Linked DNA regions of Callithrix jacchus. Each later gene encodes a partner of the first gene's protein in a complex. Links are inferred from orthologs where the notes say so. Each region holds a gene or a part of one and is shown on either strand. Other genes may lie near its edges.

Region 1 (3,500 bases):
ACTGGTGTGATCTCGGCTCACTGCAATCTCCGCTGCCTGGGTTCAAGCGATTCCCCTGCCTCAGCCTCCTGAGTAGCTGGGACTACAGGCGCAAATCACCATGCCTGGCTAATTTTTTTTTCTCTTACTTTTTCCTACATTCCAAAATTTTTTAATATTTTAGTAGAGACGGGATTTCACCATGTTGGCCAGGATGGTCTTGAACTCCTGACCTCAGGTGATCCGCCAACCTCAGCCTCCCAAAGAGCTGGGATTATAGGCGTGAGCCACTGTGCCTGGACAAAAGCCAGTTTTATGTTGGAGTTGATTTTCTAGTGCTGGGGCTTCTGGGGGCAGGGATATGGCTTTAGTAGTAGAAGCAGTAATAATAATAGCTAATATTTATTGAGTGCCAGCCTCTGTGCATTATTTCATCCAATTCTCAACCCTAGAAGACAGTAGTGATAGCCTCTTTTGGTGAGTGTGAAAACTGAGGCACTCAAATATTTAGGGCAAGGCCTGAGTTTTGTAGGTGGCAGGCTGCAGAGCCAGGACTCAGATGCCTGTGTTCCCTGCCTGAGCTCTGTGTATCTCCACTGTAACTCTTGCACATATAGGGCAGCCACTAGAGTTGGGGATGCTTTGCTGAAAGGAGGGTGCTATTTATCAACTTTCTCTTTGTCCCATAGACAGTGCTGAAGTCACCCCGCCTGTCCTCTCTGTGATGGGGGAGGCCACCCCAGTGAGCATCGAGCCGTAAGTGCAGCCCTGCCCCTGGCCCAGGGTGTGCAGGTGGCCACACTGGTGCAGTGTGTGCAGGTGGGCCCTGGGAGTGACAGGAGGGTTCTGTTGGGCCTGCAGAGGGGTTGGGAGGGCCTCCCTGGGCTTTCGTATTTGGCCCTGGGATTTGCTATCCCCCGCCCTGCCTCTGTGTGGAAGTTACAGGGAAGTGCAAGGACTGGCTCAGCTTGAACTTATCTCTAGGAGAGTTGGAAGTGGGGTCTTTCCCATCTGTAAACCTGGAGCTGCTTCTCCCCTCTCCAATCTCTGGATCTTGCCTTTCTGGTAGTGGCTGCCCTCCCAGTCCCCTAGAAGTCATACCCACTGCACCTAGCTGAGGCCTTGCTCTGCGGGCTCCCCCCATCTTCTTCCCACCCTGAGGGATAATCAAGTCCATTGTCCCCGCAAGGTGAGGCTTCACCTCCTCCTGCCCTTTTTACTCCTCTAGACGGATCAATGTGGGCTCCCGGTTCCAGGCAGAAATCCCCTTGATGAGGGACCGTGCCCTGGCAGCTGCAGACCCCCACAAGGCCGACTTGGTGTGGCAGCCATGGGAGGACCTAGAGAGCAGCCGGGAGAAGCAGAGGCAAGGTGAGAAGGGGCCTGGAGGCAACAAGTGAGGGCAGGCTGGTCCGCACTAGGGTGGGCCAGGTCTCATCCCACCCAGCCCTGCACTGAAAGTGGTTTCCTCCCTTCCTCACACTCCTACGGATCCAGTTGAAGACCTGCTGACAGCTGCCTGCTCCAGCATTTTCCCTGGTGCTGGCACCAACCAGGAGCTGGCCCTGCACTGTCTGCACGAGTCCAGGGGAGACATCTTGGTGAGAAGGCACCCTCAGCAGAGGGAGGGCCCCTCGAGGGGTTGGCTTGGATCCATGTCTCTACTCAGCTAGGCCTACTGGCATGCATATTTGAGGCCAGTTGACCAAGGAAGGGGCCATAGGGGCTTGGCCCAAGGGAGCCCTAGTTTCAGACCCCAGGTTTTGCTTTGCAGTGTCCCCCTGTCCATGCCCATCCCTGATTCTGGGTCACTGGACTCAGACTGGATGGTTGCTGAGGGTCTTCTCTAGCAGTGCTGCTTCCCTTGGAGCCAAGGCTCTCTTAAGAGGCCCTGAGGCCCGGTTTCTGGGCAGCCCCACCCCTATGACCTCACCACCCCACTGGACCCAACCTCTTATCTGTCAGTAGTTAAGGTGGGCCAAGGGTAAGTGCCCACCCTACTCAGGAATTTAACAGAGCCTAAGATATATCCACCACTGATATCCCTGCCAGGGCCCTGAACCTTCCCTCCCTTCCCCTCCAGGAAACGCTGAATAAGCTGCTACTGAAGAAGCCCCTGCGGCCCCACAACCATCCACTGGCAACTTATCACTACACAGGTGGGCCTGGCAGCAGAGGGCATGGTGCCCGGAGTGTCGAGGTCTCCAGCATCATTAGGGCCCTGCTCAGTGCTGAGTCGAAGCCCTGGGTGTGGGCAGGGAGGAGGAGGGTAGATAAACCAAGAGTCAGAATGAGAGAACAGCCACCAAAGCTGGGGCAGCTCTCCAGGGGCTTCCTGTACCCTGGAGGGGGAAGGGAGAAGGGAGTAGGCAGGTGGAAGCCCATCCAGGCAAAAAGGCCCAGGTCACAGGGACAGGAACCCAGGGAGAGCCATCCAAACTGGCATCAGGTACCTGGAACTTAGCCCTGGGAGTGCATGTCCTGTTCTGGGCAATGTACTTTAAGAAGGACATGGACTGAGTCACATAATCCTAGCAGCGGCTGTTCTCGGTCCATGTTAGTGCTACATTTCATCTGCACCAGGCAGAGCACCAAGGGTTTCACATGCATTATCTCATTTAATCCTCACCACAGCTGGTGAACCAGGCAATTTTAGTTTCCATTTCACAAGCAAGGGAGCGAGGCTCTGAGTGACATGGCTAGTGTGTGGTGGAAGCGGGACGAGGAGCCAGCTCTGATGCCTGCAGAGACCATGGGCAAATGGTCTCACACTTACCTGCTGGTCAGAATTGCCCCGCAGTGGCCAAGGCTCTTCCCAACTCACTCCCTGGCTGCCTCTTTGCCCCACAGGCTCTGACCAGTGGAAGATGGCCGAGAGGAAGCTGTTCAACAAAGGCATTGCCATCTACAAGAAGGATTTCTTCCTGGTGCAGAAGCTGGTGAGCTGGGCTCTGTTTCAGGGTCAAGTGAGGGCCTGGAGCTGCCTGTGTGACTTCGGGGCTCTCTCTGCCTGTGACCAAGCCCTCTTAAAAAGCACTCAGGTCTGCAACTTCATCAGAGAACACAAACCAGAAGGGGAAAAAAAGAGAAAAAAGCAGTCAGGTCAATGCTACTGCATAGCCTCAGAGAGAATTTTCTAGACAATACAAGAAAAAGAAAGATTAGGCTTCTTTTCCCTATTGGTTCTAAGCATCCTTTCCCCACCTCAGGCTCTGGGGTCTCAATCCAGAAAGAGGCCTAAGGGCATCAGACTTAAAATAAGCAGGAGGAAGACGGGGTGAAGGGTGGCAAGTAGAGGTGAGCCATTCCCCAGGGGAAGGTGGGAGGGGAGGGCGCCCTGGGGTGAGGGGAACTGAGAGCCAGCAAGTAACCTGCGTAGCTTTACCTGCTTCCTTTGACCCAGAGTTGCCTTCCAGTAACTCAGCTGTTGAAGCCTACTGTCCATAGATTTATCTTGTCCTCTCCCAATGTTCTTCTGGAGGAGCAGACGCTTTGCTAATCCAAGCAATTGTATCTTTCCA
Region 2 (4,116 bases), on another chromosome or scaffold:
CACTTTAGGTCAGGAGTTTGAGACCAGCCTGGCCAACATGGTGAAACCCTGTCTCTACTAAAAATACAAAAAAATTAACCAGGTGTGGTGTGCACACTTATAATCCCAGATACTTGGGAGGCTGAGGTGGGATGATCACTTGAAGCTCAGAGTCTCCTCTTTACCAGTCCTCTATTCTTTCTACTGTTACCTTGTGCACTGGGGATCCCAAAGCTGCTATGCATGCCAGTGGCTGGGATATAAGTCCCATGTAGGGTCATCCTTACCTTGTCACTGTTTACAGAGAGTAACTGTTTGTTTATTGCTACATCCCCAGTGCTTGGAATAGTGCCTGGTAGTATGGTAGTGGCTCAATAAATACTTCTTTTTTTTTCTTTTGAGACGGAATTTTGTTCTTGTTGCCCAGGCTGGAGTGCAATGGCACAATCTCAGCTCACTGCAATTTCCACCTCCCAGGTTCAAGCAATTCTCCTGCCGCAGCCTCCCGAGTAGCTGGGATTACAGCCATATGCCACCACACCCAGCTAATTTCATATTTTAGTAGAGACAGGGTTTCTCCATGTTGGTCAAGCTGAGCTCCTAACCTCATGTGATCTGCCTGCCTTAGCCTCCCAAGGCGCTAGGATTACAGGCATGAGCCAGTGTGCCCGGCCTCCCTTGTTATTCTTTTATCCTGTGTCCCTCACCTTCATGTACTTGTTGAAGACAGTCTGGATCTCCTCATTGATGCTAGGCTGCAAGACAGCACGAAGCAGATCCATGGAGATGGCAGGATCTGTGAAACTGCATTCAGGAGGGAGACAGGGTGAGGGAGCATGTCCCAAACATATTCTTTCCCAGCCTGCCCAGTCAATTTTGGACATAGAATCCTTTGACAATACTAGACAGCTTTTATTGAAAACTAGCTACATGCTCTGATTTTGTGCAAATCACAGAGGCATGACTTTATTTCATTCTCATAATAACTCTATGAAGTGGGTATTTTCTTTCTTTCTTTTTTTTTTTTTTAAAGAGATGGAGTTTCACCATGTTGGTCAGGAGGCTGGTCTCGAACTCCTGATCTCCTGATCCACCCACTTTGGCCTCCCAAAGTGCTGGGATAACAGGTGTGAGCTACTGTGCTCAGCCGTGGGTATTATTTTCAAAGTGTTTTCTTTTTTTTTTTTTGAGATGGAGTTTCACCCTGTCACCCAGGCTGGAGTGCAGTGGTTTTTGGCTCACTGCAACGTTTGCCTCCTGGGTTCAAGCAATTCTCCTGCCTCAGCCTCCTGAGCAGCTGGGATTACAGGCGTGTGCCACCACGCCTGGCTAATTTTTGTATTTTTAGTAGAGAGGGGGTTTTTCACCATGTTGATCAAGCTGGTCTTGAACTCCTGACCTACGGTGATTCATCCGCCTCTGCCTCCTAAAGTGCTAGGATTACAGGCGTGAGCCACTGAGCCCGGCCATCAAAGTGTTTTTATGAAATATAATACAGAAAAGTCTATACACTTTAATGAGTAATTACAGTGAACATCCATTTCACCACTACCAGCATCCCAAAGGTCCATCTTGTGCTCTCTCCCTTTTCTGAGGAAGATACTATTAATCACTCTTACAGTTGAGAAAATAGGGGCTCATCAGAGTCTGCACAAGAACACAGTTGTCTGACTCCAGAGCCTGTGCTCTTAAACTCCATGCTATCTGATCTCTTTAGAGTCCTCAACCACAGAGCCGGTGAATATGAGGGATCTTAGGTATTGTTTACTCTACAACCCATGTCTTGCACCCTTTCCCATTTTGTACATGAGTTCAGAGAAGGAAGTGAATTGACTAGCTCAAAATCACACAGAGTTACAGAATCGGAGTCTCCTCTTTCCCAGTCCTGTGTTTTTTTTACCGGCTGTAGATCTCCATAGCCTTGTGCACTGGGGATCCCAAAGCTGCCATGTAAGCCAGTGGCTGGGATATAAGTCCCATGCAGGGCCAGCCTTACCTTGTCGTCATCTGTGAGCGGCGGCCTCTCCGCTGCACCTGCCGGTGCTTTATCATTATGTTCCAAGGGTTCTGTGGGGGACCAAGTGAATAAATATCACTGCGGTTGGTGACATTGGGATGGGGTGGAAGTGGAGGGTGGGTATGAAGTTAAATCTAGACATCCCTGTTTCTCAGATTCGACACCATCTCTCCCACCTTGGGGTAGCGGGGGAGGATAACAGTTGGAAGGCCTCCGCTTTGCGCGCCAGAAAAGAGGAACAAAGGAAGTTTCCTGCCTTAAAAGTCCCTACCCCGCCTTTCTGGCACGGCAGGAAGAAGGGAAGCAGTGTATACCGTGGGTCAACTCTGTGCCAGGTGATGTACTGGGCGCTGTATCCGCCTTTATTTTCCCATCCCACAACTTTATGAGACAGGTACTAACCATCTCCATTTTATAGAAGAGGATCCTAAGGCTCAAGGGGTTGACAGAATCGGCCCACATCACCTAGCTAGGCGGGCGGCACCAGAATTTGAATCCAGGTCGTCGGGCTGCGAAAACGCCAACCCCTCTGCAGCTCCAGCCGCCGCATTCTCTCGCCCGCGGGCCAGGGTCCCAGGAAACCCGAGGCCCTGCCCTGCCCGAGCCCAGGCCTCCCCCGGGGCGCCCTCACCGTGAGAACCAGCTGCCCCGCTCCGCCCGCATCCCCCAGCTCCAAGCCGCCTCGCTCGGTCCCGCTGGGTCCCCGCGGCTGCTCGGCGTCGCCAGTGGCTCCCATGGCGCCCCCGGCCCCTACTACTTCGCTCGACTGTGCCACCGGCCAGAAGGTGGCTCCGTGACGTCACTGAAGCGCGCTGCTGTTCAGCCCGGAAGCGCGACGCAGGAGCTGCGGGTTACCATGGGAACTGAGCCACCGTCCCTTGCCGGGGACAGTGTTATATAGAGGCCTTGCGCGTGGAGGTCGTTGGGGCTTCCTCCCGGGAGGGTTGCGCCTCGATTGTGGAGTGTGGGTGTTCAGTGGCGGTTCAGTCAAGGGATGTTCCCCGCTGGGCCAAAGCCGGTGGATGACTGCGGTGTAGGAGGAGGGGAGCAGGTTTCTGTAGGCTGGGGTTGGGGAGCAGAGGGAAGCGTTTGGTACAGTGGCGCCTGCAGTTCAGTTTTTGAAAGCTAGATTTTAATATGGTCGGCCAGGCGCTGTAGCTCACGCCCGTAATTTCAGCCCTTTGGGAGGCCGAGGCGGGAAGATCACTTGAGGTCAGGAGTTCGAGACCAGCTTGGCCAACATGGCGAAACCCTGTCTCTACTAAAAATACAAAAATTAGCCAGGCGTGGTGGCACGCGCCTGTAGTCCCAGCTACTTGGGAGGCTGAGGCAAAGAGAATTTCTTGAATCCGGGAGACGGAGTTTGCAATGAGCTGAGATCGTGCCATTGCACTCCAGCCTGGGCAACAGAGTGAAAAAAAAAAAAAGATTTTAATATTCTGGACCCTCAGCCTCCAACATTGGAGTGGGCCTAATGCGAAGATTGGGGCACTCAACAAAGGGGCCTCCAGTCCGTGCCATCCCAAAACACTCACTGGGTCTCTCCAGGCTTCGACCCCAGTGGCTGCCTCTTGTGTCTGAACGCACCAGAATGAAGGCTGTGTGTTGACCAGTCCCAAAGATCTGAGCCTCTGTCCCCAGACAGGTGATTCTGGGATGGGCTGGGGATGCAGGAACTTAACAAGGTGGAGTTCTCCAGAGGTTCCCTTAGCTCTGTCGCAGAGGTAAGACATCCCTGAATATAATTGGATCCATTTATGGTGGTAGAGCCTGTTACTCTTTCCAAGTCACAATACAAGAGTAGTGGAAATTGCATGAGTCTTGCAGTTAGAAATATCTGGGTTAAAATTTGGTATTGTATGGTGGTTAAGAAAATTGGCTATTGGACTGGCTATGGAATTGGAATTGGACTGCTTGCCTCTGTTTCACCACTTATTAGTTGTGTGACCCACAGTTCTTAAACTCTCTGTGCCTTCATTTTCCCAACTGTAAAATGGGGATAACAGCATGTAGTTTGTAGGGTTGCAGTGAGGATTAGTGAGTTAACTCATGTAAAGTGCTTAAAACTAGCATGAGTAAACCCTCAAACAATGCTGTCCGTAGTTACTATTATGAAATTC

The links.
Region 2: the proteins of MIDEAS (region 1) and DNTTIP1 are in contact, whole or in part, in a cryo-EM structure (PDB 6Z2J), measured with the Homo sapiens proteins. The link is inferred for Callithrix jacchus from reciprocal best matches to the Homo sapiens genes MIDEAS and DNTTIP1. Residues at the interface, in NP_001036783.1 of Homo sapiens: Gln768, Asp771, Leu772, Thr774, Ala775, Ser778, Ser779, Ile802, Leu803, Leu806; in NP_443183.1 of Homo sapiens: Pro63, Ser66, Leu69, Leu70, Ala72, Val73, Leu74, Pro76, Ser77.

The regions. Positions count from the first base shown.
Region 1 is NC_133509.1:108,642,422-108,645,921, reverse strand, and holds part of MIDEAS (mitotic deacetylase-associated SANT domain protein), read left to right. Parts: intron 1-668; coding exon 669-735; intron 736-1,207; coding exon 1,208-1,350; intron 1,351-1,476; coding exon 1,477-1,580; intron 1,581-2,062; coding exon 2,063-2,138; intron 2,139-2,829; coding exon 2,830-2,918; intron 2,919-3,500.
Region 2 is NC_133506.1:41,032,029-41,036,144, reverse strand, and holds the start of DNTTIP1 (deoxynucleotidyltransferase terminal-interacting protein 1), read right to left. Parts: upstream 2,801-4,116; 5' UTR 2,733-2,800; coding exon 2,628-2,732; intron 2,047-2,627; coding exon 1,976-2,046; intron 784-1,975; coding exon 687-783; intron 1-686. Other genes in the region: WFDC3 (WAP four-disulfide core domain protein 3), read left to right, coding at 3,653-3,720. UniProt on the Homo sapiens protein: Increases DNTT terminal deoxynucleotidyltransferase activity (in vitro). Also acts as a transcriptional regulator, binding to the consensus sequence 5'-GNTGCATG-3' following an AT-tract.